Macaca fascicularis: one gene and its partners. The protein of the gene in region 3 interacts with the protein of the main gene of each other region in a pairwise test. Links are inferred from orthologs where the notes say so. Each region holds a gene or a part of one and is shown on either strand. Other genes may lie near its edges.

What was found. The genes of interacting proteins can lie anywhere in the genome.
Region 1: the proteins of TSC22D4 (region 3) and MAD2L1 interact in binary tests that used the Homo sapiens proteins (3 or more experiments, as listed by UniProt). The two-hybrid records come from large-scale screens. The link is inferred for Macaca fascicularis from reciprocal best matches to the Homo sapiens genes TSC22D4 and MAD2L1.
Region 2: the proteins of TSC22D4 (region 3) and NRBP1 interact in binary tests that used the Homo sapiens proteins (3 or more experiments, as listed by UniProt). The link is inferred for Macaca fascicularis from reciprocal best matches to the Homo sapiens genes TSC22D4 and NRBP1.

Annotation. Positions count from the first base shown.
Region 1 is NC_088379.1:125,163,712-125,167,041, forward strand, and holds the end of MAD2L1 (mitotic spindle assembly checkpoint protein MAD2A), read right to left. Parts: intron 2,611-3,330; coding exon 2,507-2,610; intron 1,614-2,506; coding exon 1,441-1,613; 3' UTR 757-1,440; downstream 1-756. UniProt on the Homo sapiens protein: Component of the spindle-assembly checkpoint that prevents the onset of anaphase until all chromosomes are properly aligned at the metaphase plate.
Region 2 is NC_088387.1:94,785,220-94,789,406, forward strand, and holds part of NRBP1 (nuclear receptor-binding protein), read right to left. Parts: intron 1,537-4,187; 5' UTR 1,517-1,536; coding exon 1,307-1,516; intron 1,118-1,306; coding exon 995-1,117; intron 801-994; coding exon 699-800; intron 316-698; coding exon 226-315; intron 59-225; coding exon 18-58; intron 1-17. UniProt on the Homo sapiens protein: Required for embryonic development. Plays a role in intestinal epithelial cell fate and proliferation, thereby involved in the architectural development of the intestine potentially via the regulation of Wnt-responsive genes.
Region 3 is NC_088377.1:49,048,172-49,052,697, reverse strand, and holds the end of TSC22D4 (TSC22 domain family protein 4), read left to right. Parts: intron 1-2,301; coding exon of another isoform or gene 2,302-2,395; coding exon 2,396-2,444; intron 2,445-2,826; coding exon 2,827-3,036; 3' UTR 3,037-3,472; downstream 3,473-4,526.

The DNA of each region.
Region 1 (3,330 bases), on a different chromosome or scaffold from region 3:
AGAATTTAGTCTGACATCTCAAATAGTTAAAATACAAATGAAGCATTTATTGGCCATTTTCTTGATATCATCTAGCTGGGTAACACCAGTGCTCCATTTATTCCATAAAGATATGAAGAGTCTACAAATTTGTCACTGAGAACCCAGAAACTGCCACTGATCCACAGTATTTGCTCAATATGTAATTTCTGAATGAACACATTCAGACTATCTGCAATTACTTCATACACATAAAGAACTTAAGTGTCTAATAATAAGCATTAATAAACTGAATTTTTACAAAATGAGGTCAGATTTAGATTAGAGATGAGAGAAGACTTTACAAATCTGCCTTAAATTGACTTTGGAAAAACAGGTGAGAACTGGATAGAAAGCATGTACCAGATGAAGGTATTAATGAAAGCACAGGAATAAGCATAGTATTTAAATACCTAAAGAAAAGTAGGCTGATAATAAGGCTAAGAGTATAGTAAAGTACTAAAATCAACATTTGTTCAACTGGAATTGTTGGACTAATTCCAAAGGACATTTATCCTTTCACAATGATGAAGTAATAGCTTTGTCTATTGCTATGAGATCAACAGGATGTGATCAAAGTTTATCCATTAGATTGAAGACACCTCAAGACTCACTCAACTTTGTATCTTTAAGTTCTATAACTTCATAGGAACAAGAATTCAATAGTTATGCTGAATCAATTCTAATTACCATTTAACTATATCAACACCAAACCAGTATCAAAATTTTTAAGACAAATTTAAAACAAACTTAACTTTATTTCCTCACTTTCACTTAAAACTTGATTTTATAAAACACACACACACAAAAACATTTTTAAGAGTTCTGTATCACAGAACATTAAAGAGTACAAATATCCATTGTTTCATAAGTTCAAGTTACATAAATTAAAGTCAAATTTGGAAACTGATTCATTAGGGAAAACTATACATGAAATGAAGGTCAAAAGGAGCTAATACAGCAATATTTCATGTTTATAGATTATTAGTTACTTTCAGGACCTTAGCAAAGATTCTGAATATTTAGACTTCCTTTGCTGTATTTTATACTTAAATATCTCCCTACCTATACTGAGTCAAGCTACTTGACCAAAACATCTGATTTAGGAAAGCATTTAGCTTTATAGCACAAGTTTTTCCATCTACAGTTACTATCTTCAAAGAATATACATCACAACGTTGACAAAAAAAATTCCTGGTTCCTTTTGAACAGTGTGCAATAAATTCATGATGTTAACTCCATGGTAAGTCAAATAGGCACCAAAAAATAAAAGGAACAATTACACACAGTTCAGTAAGTATCATTTTGGTTTTCTCCATGTAAAAATTAACCAATGAAATAAAACATATTAACTGTAGATGATTTGATTTCAGGAAAACCAAATTTCAAAATTACAATTACATTATTTTCCTCACGTCATCCTCAGTCATTGACAGGAATTTTGTAGGCCACCATGCTATTTACTTTGTGGATTGTAGTAGTAAATGAACGAAGGCGGACTTCCTCAGAATTGGTAATAAACTGTGGTCCCGACTCTTCCCATTTTTCAGGTACAACCAAATCTTTGTCTGTATAAATCAGCAGATCAAATGAACCTAAATTGGGGATAAGATCATTAAAGTACATTACTTTCTAAAAGTAAAACTAATCTTGTTGCCTCTCTTCTATTTTGAACAACTCACTGCTGGAAAAGGTCATTTGGCTTGGCCTCTAATCACTAATTTATTTTGCTCAATGAACATTTATCTTAATAAAGAAAATATTGTATCTAATTTCTGTGCAATTTAGTGATTGTGTTCAAGTAACCCTTATCTTATTTAATAATGGTCCCAAGGGTGGGTGCGGTGGCTCACGCCTGTAATCCCAGCACTTTGGGAGCCCAAGGTGGGCGAATCACTAGGTCAGGAGGAGATCGAGACCATCCTGGTTATCATGGTGAAACCCCGTCTCTACTAAAAATACAAAAAATTAGCTGGGCATGGTGGCGGGTGCCTGTAGTCCCAGCTACTGGGGATGCTGAGGCGGGAGAATAGTGTGAACCTGGGAGGCAGAGCTTGCAGTGAGCCGAGATCGCGCTACTGCACTCCAGCCTGGGCGACAGAGTGAGACTCCGTCTCAAAATAAATAAATAAATAAATAAATAAAAATAATGGTCCCAAAGCACAAGAATAGTGATGCCAGCATATTGTTATAATTGTTCCAGTTTATTAACTCTTACGATGCTTAATTTACATATTAAATTGTATCACAGGTATGTATGCATAAGAAAAACATCATACAGGGTTCATACTATCCATGGTTTCAGGTAGTCACTGTGGGTCTCCTTGTGGAAAGGGAGACTATGATACATTAATTTTCCTTTATAATGTTTTTTCTTCAATTTATATTACATAAATCTGACAAGACAAAATTGAATAAAGGGGTGATTAAGGCAGTAGCTTAGTCTTTTTGCCAATCAATTTAATCCAACAAGAAGTTGTATACTTACAGGAAACTTCCAACAGTGGCAGAAATGTCACCGTAGCTGTTATCTGTCTGATCACTGAACGGATTTCATCCTGGATAGCTTTCTGAGACTTTTCTCTGGGTGCACTGTCAAAAAAAAAAAAAAAAAAAAAAATCAACAGTGCACCCAATCAATTAATTCATTTTAGGTTTTAAGTTATTTCAAACATAGTGGTAAGATTATTTATTTGATTAAATGCTCTCAACATCAAATAAGCAGTGCTTTAAAAAGGAGGTTTGTAAAAACTGTGAATGAAAGTATCCTTTGGACCTATAACCTAGTAGGCACAACATACATCCTCATTACTTCATTTATCCTGCCAGGCATCTTTTAGAGCTGGTCTTAGTGTCAGGTCATTTAGTATCAGATGACTAGAAAATCTGCCAATCATTTCAAGTTCAGGAAACTTCAGCATCTCTTGAAATAAAATAACAAATGCTATCTAAAATATTTAATTGGTATAATCATTTTGGCACTTTTAGTAATGCCTAAATGTCTAAATTCCTATTTTCTCAAATAAAACATTAAATTGTGTATCAAATTATTTTATAAGCTAAAAATTTCCTAAAATAAACCAAAGCCTTCAGAAGCAAACTACATTTCACTGTAAGAAATGGTTCCCAGTTTATAGAAAAGCATGCCTAGGACAATGCTAAACATTAGAGTATAAAGACAGACACTTCTCTTCCAGGGAGTCTGGAACTTTCAGAAATTTATCAAGTGTCTTAGGAAGTAGATGGCATTAAAGGAAGTACAGCAGAGCTACATCATAAATTGTGTGAATCTAATATAATTCCTTATAGTTA
Region 2 (4,187 bases), on a different chromosome or scaffold from region 3:
AACCAGGTACTACTTACCTTAGGGCAGAGAGGATTTGTGTGCACCAGCGCTTCCATGCCTGGAACAAAGTTTGATCCAAGGGTCAGCAGTAATTCCCTCTCTTAACTCTCTCCCACTAGCTCCTTCCATCCCTTCCTGATCAGCTTCATTATTAACACAGTAATTTTTAAGGCCCCCGCCCTGCCCCACCCCGAGCCTAAAACTTTGTCTGCTCTCCTTCTATACCTTTTCATTCATGGTCTTGTGGTTCTTTTTGGTCTTCTTCAGAAATTGCTTCAGACTGCCAGATGACATGTATTCTGTGATAAAAATGACCTGGGGAGGCAAAGCATTTACTAAAAGGTCTTATAGTAGAAATGATCCCTTCCCTTGTAACAGATTTTAAATTTGAAAGTTTGTTAAAATTTCTCTCCTTTTGTTCTTAGCTTTACTTACTTAGACTAAATAGGGCAATGGAAACTACTAAGCAATAAAAGTTATGGGAAGAAGGAAGCAAAAGTTCACTCATTTTCTGCCCAATCTATAGCCATATAAAAGGCATAGGTGACAACTGAAGCCCTACTCTTATCGCCATTGCAGCTGATTCCAGTTCTGTTTCAAAACTACCTTGTTTTAATCTCTGAGTGTAAAACGAACAATAATAAATGTAGCTAGTCTCTTTGCAGTAAGTTCAGGAAATATGGGGAAAAAATTCTTACCCTGGCCTTGTTCTCTTTAATGTCAGCCCAATATTTGTGAAACTTAACAATGTTAAGATGCTCCAATTGAATCAGATTATCAAACACAGCACGAACCTTTTCCTGAGAGCAAGGGAGACAGTGGAATAACAGAGTTCATGAATCACTGTAATAATCCTGAGAAGCCATTCCCTGTCCCTCCCCAGAAATGAACTGACCCCAACATACTCTCCTCATGGGCAGCTTCCCAATACCAATTCCTCTCTAACATCAGTGTTCCAACATTCCCCAGGCTTCACCTTTTCAGCATTACCTACCTCCTGCAGCTTGTAGTTCTTGCGCTCAGAGAACTGTACCTCATTCCACACAACCTCTACACCTTCCTCTGTATCCATGGCCAGGTATGCACTGTCAATACCTGGTACATTCCGTTGATTCACCTGAGAAGAAATTCATATGAAAGACAATTAAAGTTATCTCGCAAATCCTCCATCTTAACACTCCATATGATCATCTCCTCCTAGCCCCCAACCTATTGAAGTTTGGTCGGCCTCTTTTAAGACTTCGGTCTTCCAGTTCTCACCTTTCCAGAACTCACTCCCCCAAGAGTGACTGTACCATCACCTTACCTCTTCTCGCCTCTTCTGCCAGCGCCCACACGGCGACTCTTCCAAAATCTCAGACTCATCTTCACTTTCTTCTTCTTCCTCTGGGGAAGCAGCTGAGGTTGTGGAGGTCACAGGAGGTGACACTGATGTCAGGCCAGGAGCTGAAGATGAGGATTCTACCTTTGGATCTGAGCCACTGCTGAGTACTGTCTGGGACTCCCCCTCCGACATGCTGGAAGGAACACTCAGGCCTGCAATGGTTGGGGCAAGTACAGAGGGAGAAGGCAGAGAGAGTCAGGATACATCTGTAAAGATTTAGTAACCCAGGCTGGACACGGTGGCTCACGCCCGTAATCCCTTTGGGAGGCCGAGGTGGGCAGATCACCTGAGGTCAGGAGTTCAACATGGTGAAACCCCATTTCTACTAAAAATACAAAATTAGCTGGGTGTGGTGGCATGTGCCTGTAGTCCCAGCTACTCAGGAGACTGAGGCAGGAGAATTTTTTCTTTTTTTTTTTTTGAGACGGAGTCTCACTCTGTTGCCCAGGCTGGAGTGTAGTGGCGCAATCTCTGCTTACTGCAAGCTCCACCTCCTAGGTTCACACCATTCTCCCACCTCAGCCTTCCAAGCAGCTGGGACTACAGGCGCCCACCACACGCCCGGCTAATTTTTTGTATTTTTAGTAGAGACGGGGTTTCACTGTGTTAGCCAGGATGGTCTCGATCTCCTGACCTCGTGATCCGCCCGCCACGGCCTCCCAAAGTGCTGGGATTACAGGCGTGAGCCACCGCGCCCGGCCGAGAATTTTTTGAACCAGGGAGGTAGAGGTTGCAGTGAGCCGAGATCGTGCCACTGCACTCCAGTCTGGGTGACAGAGCAAGCACCCCATCTCAAAAAAAAAAAAAAAAAAGAAAAATTTAGTAATCCAGTTGAGCACAGTGGCTCACCCCTGTAATCCTAGGAATTTGAGAAGCCGAGGCAAGAGGTTCACTTGAGGCCAGGAGTTTGAGATCCAGCCTGGGCAACAAAGTGAGAGCCCATCTTTACAAAAAAAATTTTAAAATTAGCAGGGTGAGGCGGTACACAGCTATAGTCCCAGCTACCCGGGAGGCTGAAGGGAGAATCACTTGATTGCCCAGGAGTTTGAGGCTGCAGTGAGCTATGATCATGCCATTGGCTGGGCAACAGAGGGAGACCCTGTCTCAAAAAAATAAATAAATAAAAAGATTTAATAATCCTAATAACTTCATCTGCAAATTCAAAAGAAAACAGGCCAGGCACTTGAGACCAGCCTGGACAACATAACAAGACCCCAGTCTCTACACAAAATTTTTAAAAATTAAAAATAGGAAACACACACCACCGTTGTTTCCTTTAAATCCAAAATCAGAATCAGTCCTAAATACTGCAACATTAACTATTCTCCTAACTCAAGTCTAGAGAAGGTGAGCTATCATAGTTGAAGATGACCCACCTAGGAATGACAAATACAAGATTTACGGCAGTCCAACCTCACTTAGAGTCAGGTTCAAATCAACAGCAAAATCAGGTGCTCCATTCCTTCTTGGCAAATATTCATCCAACATGCTTCCCTTTGAATCCACAAGTACACCCTATTTGTACTGTGCTCAAGAATTAAGCTATGTGTGGCCAGGCACGGTGGCTCACGCCTGTAATCCCAACACTTTGGGAGACTGAGGTAGGTGGATTACCTGAGGTCAAGAGTTCAGGACCAGCCTAACCAACATGGCAAAACCCTGTATCTACTAAAAATAAAAAAATTAGCCGGGTGTGGTGGCACGTACCTGTAGTCCCAGCTACTCAGGAGGCTGAAGCAGGAGAATCACTTAAACCAGGGAGGCAGAGGTTTCAGTGAGCTGAGATTGTGCCACTGCACTCCAGCTTGGGCAACAGAGTGAGACTCCATCTCAAGAATTAAAAACAAAAAAGCTGTATGGGTGCTATTCAGAACAGATGACTCCAGACTCCAAAATGTTGCACTGAGACAGCCTTAAGGCTGGACCTGTAGCACCCTCAGCCAACTTATCCAGCTGAAACCCTTGGCTAATTTATCCAGCTAGAACTAACTTTGGCATTCACTATCCATCCCTTCTCTACACAGAACAAGCCCGCCAGTCCATGGTGAGGCTACCCTTGGGGCAGGTAACTGGCAGTTGTTAGTGACTTCATCCCTGATGACCTCACCTTTCCTGTGATGTGACTGTGACAAATGAGTATTGGTTAACAACATTTTTTTTTTCATTCACTCATTTGACAGATTTTTTTTAAGCACTTATTGTGGGCCAACCATTGGGCTAAGTCCTTGAGATACAATAACAAACAAAATAAATACCCACATTCAAGCAGCCACAAATTCAAGTCAGAGCTAAGACTTTAAGCTTCCAGCTTTCATTTCATTCACATTGGTCAAAGGCTCTGAAGTTTCCATTCTCTGGGGCACTAGATCTGATATAGGTTATTTCTTTTTTGGCGGAGGGGATGGAATCTCACTCTGTTGCCCAGGCTGGAGTGCAGTGGTGTGATCTTGGCTCACTGCAACCTCCGCCTCCCAGGTTCAAGCGATTCTCCTGCCTCAGCCTCCCGAGTAGCTGGGACTATAGGCATGTGCCACCACATCGGGCTAATTTTTTGTATTTTTAGTAGAGATGGTGTTTCACCGTGTTAGCCAGGATGGTCTCGATCTCCTGACCTCATCATCCGCCTGCCTCAGCCTCCCGAAGTGCTGGGATTACAGGCATGAGCCACCGCACTGGCCTAGGTTATTTCTTACAAATACAAATAACTCAGCCGGGCGCGGTGGTTCAAGCCTGTAATCCCAGCACTTTGGGAGGCCGAGACGGGCGGATCACGAGGTCAGGAGACGAAGACCATCCTAGCTAA
Region 3 (4,526 bases):
CAGGGATGTGGCCTGCAGCCCCTTGAGGCCCCTGCTCCGAGCGGGGCCCAGCTGGGGGCTGGAGGGCAGGACTGGGGATCCCACCACAGCACCAGAGTGCAGGGGTACAAGGGTAGGTCTGGAGCCTCAGGGCAAGAGCCTGGGGCCAGAGTGGTGGGAGAGGGAGCCTTGGAGGATGAGGTCGGCACAAGAGCCTGTGCAGGTCCTGGGCGGTGAGAGTGGGGCTTGAGGGAGAGCCAGGTTCTGGGACCAAGAGCCCAGCGTCTTGGAGCCAGCCTGGAGCCTGGCCCTGGGGGCTGTTGAGCCAGGCCTGAGTCGCCCTCTGGTGGCCACTTCCCAGACTGCAGCCAGACCCTGTCACCTGGGACTCCCACCTCTCTTCCAAGCCCTGTTGCTCCTCTTCCCAATGTCCCATCTCCAAGCTCACTTCCCTTCCTCTCCTCTGAGCCCTCGCTTCCTCTGAGACCCCAGACCCAGGTCCCAGGCCCATAGGCGGTTTTTTTTTTTTTTTTTTTTGAGACGGAGTCTGGCTCTGTCGCCCAGGCTGGAGTGCAGTGGCCAGATCTCAGCTCACTGCAAGCTCCGCCTCCCGGGTTCACGCCATTCTCCTGCCTCAGCCTCCTGAGTAGCTGGGACTACAGGCGCCCACCACCTCGCCCGGCTAGTTTTTTGTATTTTTTAGTAGAGACGGGGTTTCACCGTGTTAGCCAGGATGGTCTCGATCTCCTGACCTCGTGATCCGGCGGTATTTTTTTTTTAAGACAGAGTTTTGCTCTTGTTGCCCCGGCTGGAGTGCAGTGGCCTGATCTCGGCTCACTGCAGTCTCCACCTCCCAGGTTCAAGCGATTCTCCTGCCTCAGCCTCCTGAGTAGCTGGGATTACAGGCACCTGCCACCACGCCTGGCTAATTTTTTGTACTTCTAGTAGAGCCAGGGTTTCACCATGTTGGCCAGGCTGGTCTTGAACTTCTGACCTCAGGAGATCCGCCTGCCTCAGCCTCCCAAAGTGCTGGGATTACGGGCATGTGCCACCATGCCTGTCCCTTTTTTTTTTTTTTTTTGAGACAGGATCTCACTCTGTCTTCCAGGCTGGAGTGTAGTAGCACGATCTTAGCTCACTGCAACCTCTACCTCCCGGTTCAAGCAATTCTCCTGCCTCAGCCTCCTGAGTAGCTGGGATTACTGGCACCCTCCACCATGCCTGGCTAATTTTTGTATTTTCAGTAGAGATGGGGTTTCACCGTGTTAGCCAGGCTGGTCTCGAACTCCTGACCTCAAATGATCCACCCACCTCAGCCTCCCAAAGTGCTGGGATTACAGGTGTGAGCCACCGCACCTGGCCTTTAGGCTGTATTCGTCTTCTAGGGCTCTGGGCTCAGTTTCTGTTGCCGTGGTAACCTTTCCCATTTTTGGTCTTCTCTGGAAAGTCAGGGACCCTCTGGCCAGGTCCCGGGGTCACCCATGATGTGAGCCTTGTGGGGTTTTTTGGTAGTAGAGCACTCATGATCTATGGAAGACCACGAGTACGTCAGAACGCCCCCTACCCCAGCCACCTCCACCCTCTTTCCCAAGGCCTTGAGGGACAGAGGGGACAGGATGGGGTCAGAGGTGGGGAGGGGCCTCCGAGGGCCAGGCCCTTCGTCTCCCTTCACACCCTTTACTCCCCTCTCAGACCCAGGCTTCTGCCCCACGCCCCTCCCCTGGCCCAGCCACCAGCTGACTTCCTCGGCCGGCCCCCTCCCCTCCACTCTGGGATTGGTGCCAGGGTGAGAAGGGGACACTGGCACTGACCGTGTCTGGGAATTCCCGCCCACCGAGGAGCCGAGGGGAGGGGGGGTCCCCGTGTCCCCAAGGAGCCAATAGCAGCCAGGCCTTGCCCTTGGGGGGGGTGGTGTATATCTTTCAGGCCAGCACCCCCGAGGCACTGTCTCCTCTCTGCCCGCCTGGCACCAGCCAGACCCCGCTCTGCCCGGGGGGCTCTGAGCCCCCCAGGCATTCCCTTCACTGCATCCTTCTCCGTTGGGGGGGCGTCTAAGGACCCTTTCCCCTTGGGCATGGCCCAGCCAGGGATCTCTGTCAAGTCCCTGGTGTCATCTTATGAGACCCGAGTGGTGGGGATGGCTCCGGGGCCGCCCCGAAAAAGGGGCTGTGCCTCTTCCCCTTGCTCTCCCCGGGGTGCGTCCCCCATACGAGGGACATCTGGGCCCCCGCCCCACCGGGGCCTGGGAGGCCCTGGGCAGCGGCCCTCAGCCCGCAGGGGGATGGACAAAACCCTCCTCTCCCTCATTCTCTACTGTCACAGGTATAGGGGGGTGTGGGCGGGAGGCTGTGGTCCAAGAAACCAGCACCTGGGAAGGCTCCTCCTCTCCTCCCCTCACCTTCCTGTGTCTCTCCAGTGGCTCCGGAAGCCTGGTTGGCATTGACAACAAAATCGAGCAAGCCATGGTAAGAGAAGCCATCTTGGTCCCAGGAGGTCCCGGCCCCCTTAAGCCATCCCTCCGCCCCAGCCCTGTCTTCTTCCTTACCAGGGAACACCAACTCCCAGTTCCTCCATCCCTCTCCCTGCTGGGCTCCTGGGCATCCTCTGCCCCCTCCTACCGCCACCTGCACCCTTGACTTTGCCCGGCCTCTGGTCTGGCTGCTGGTCCCCATCTCTGTCTTTGAGCTCTGACTCTGCCTCTGTCCCTCGTCCTTTTCCCCTGTCCCTTCCCTGCTTTGTCTCTCATCCTCTGGACACGGGACTCTCTCCCATCCCGGCCCTTGAGGCACTGGGCAGGGGATGAGGCACCCACTCCGTTGACACTGTGCCTGTCCCCGGGGCCCCCAGGATTTGGTGAAGTCCCACCTCATGTTTGCGGTCCGGGAGGAGGTGGAGGTACTGAAGGAGCAGATCCGGGAACTGGCAGAGCGGAACGCTGCGCTGGAGCAGGAGAACGGGCTGCTGCGCGCCCTGGCCAGCCCGGAGCAGCTGGCTCAGCTGCCCTCCTCGGGGGTCCCACGGCTTGGGCCCTCCGCGCCCAATGGGCCCTCCGTCTGAGCCTCCCTTCCCTTACAATGTGCCTTTGGGGCTGCCCGGCCTTTTGTCAGCCGCCTGCCCCCTCTTCCTATGCAGCTTTAATGTCCCCATGTCCCCAGGGTGGGAGTTCAAGGCTCAGTAACGGCCTGGTCCCCCGGCCCCTGCCCCATCTCCTCATCATCCCCAGCCTTGATGGAGGAGGGAGGACTTCAGGACGGGGCATCAGAGGGAGCCCCCTCTGGGAGGGAACCAACCTCCACCCTCCCTCATGGGACCCCCAGCAGTCGACGGCCTGGGGGAGTTGGAGGCTCCCTGGCAGACACCCCACCCCCACCTTGTTCCCTTGAGGTGCATCCTCTCCTCTGCCTAGGGGAGGGAGTGTGGACAGTATCTGGAAGTTCTGGGATTCAGGTTGTTATTAAAATAATAATAATTAAAAATTCTGAAGAAACTTGAATTTGGAGGTTGACATCTCGTTCGTTGCTTGTGTTCAGACTCAGGGGTTGCGCCTGCCATTTGGGGCTTCCCTGAGATCTTTTGCAGACTGGGGAGGTTTAAAGCGTGGGAGATGGAGGGGTTGAGACAGAGACTGGAGAAGGGAGCCAGCGGTTCGGGTCCTGGGAAGGGGCAGGCGAGGATTGGGGGTGGGGGGGCGTCTGCCCACGTGCTGGGCGGGGGGACCAGGAAACAATGAGGTCTTTGGTGGCTGCCCAAGATCCACCCCCAGCTTCCCAGTGTGTCCCCTCTGCGGGCTGGATCCGGGTGGCTGCTTGGGGGCGGGGCGGGGGGCCCTGAATGGGCCCCTTGTCTCTGGGCTGGGTGTGGGCCAGACTCCCTGGGCACACGGTGCCCTTGCCAGGCCTGGCCGGCCGCCGTGGCTCCCACCCCCGGCCAGCTGAGGACGGGCCCTGTGGGTGAGATGGCCCCTCCCTGGCAGCCTGGGCTCCAGTCCCAGGCGGAAGAGTCAGCAGTGATGGAGAAGGACCCCATCTAGCGGGGAAGAGGTGAGAGTTGCGGATGTAGCCCCAGGAGGCCCCTAGCCCCAGCAGCCTCCAAGGAGGCTGACCTGCCTTGGAGTCCGTGACTCTCTGCCTCCTTAGGTTTCCCTAGGTTCATAACCTTGGGCAACTTCTTTGGTTTTTCTTTTTTTTTTCTTCGTTTCTTCTTTCTTTTTTTGAGACAGGGTCTTGCTCTGATGCCCGGAATGCAGCGGCACAAACACAGCTCCCTGCAGCCTCCACGTCCCTGGCTCAAGTGATCCTCCTGCCTTGGCCTCCCTGAACTATAGGTGTGTGCCACCACGTTCAGCTAATTGTCTTTATTTTTGTAGAGATGGGGCCTTGCTATGTTGCCCAGGCTGGAGTGCAGTGGTGTTATCATAGATCACTGTTGTCTTCCACTCCTGGGCTCAAGTGATCCTCCCACTTCAGTCTCCTAAGTAGCTGGGACTACAGGCATGTGGCACTATGCCCAGCTAGAGACGGAGTTTCGCTCTTGTCACCCAGGCTGGA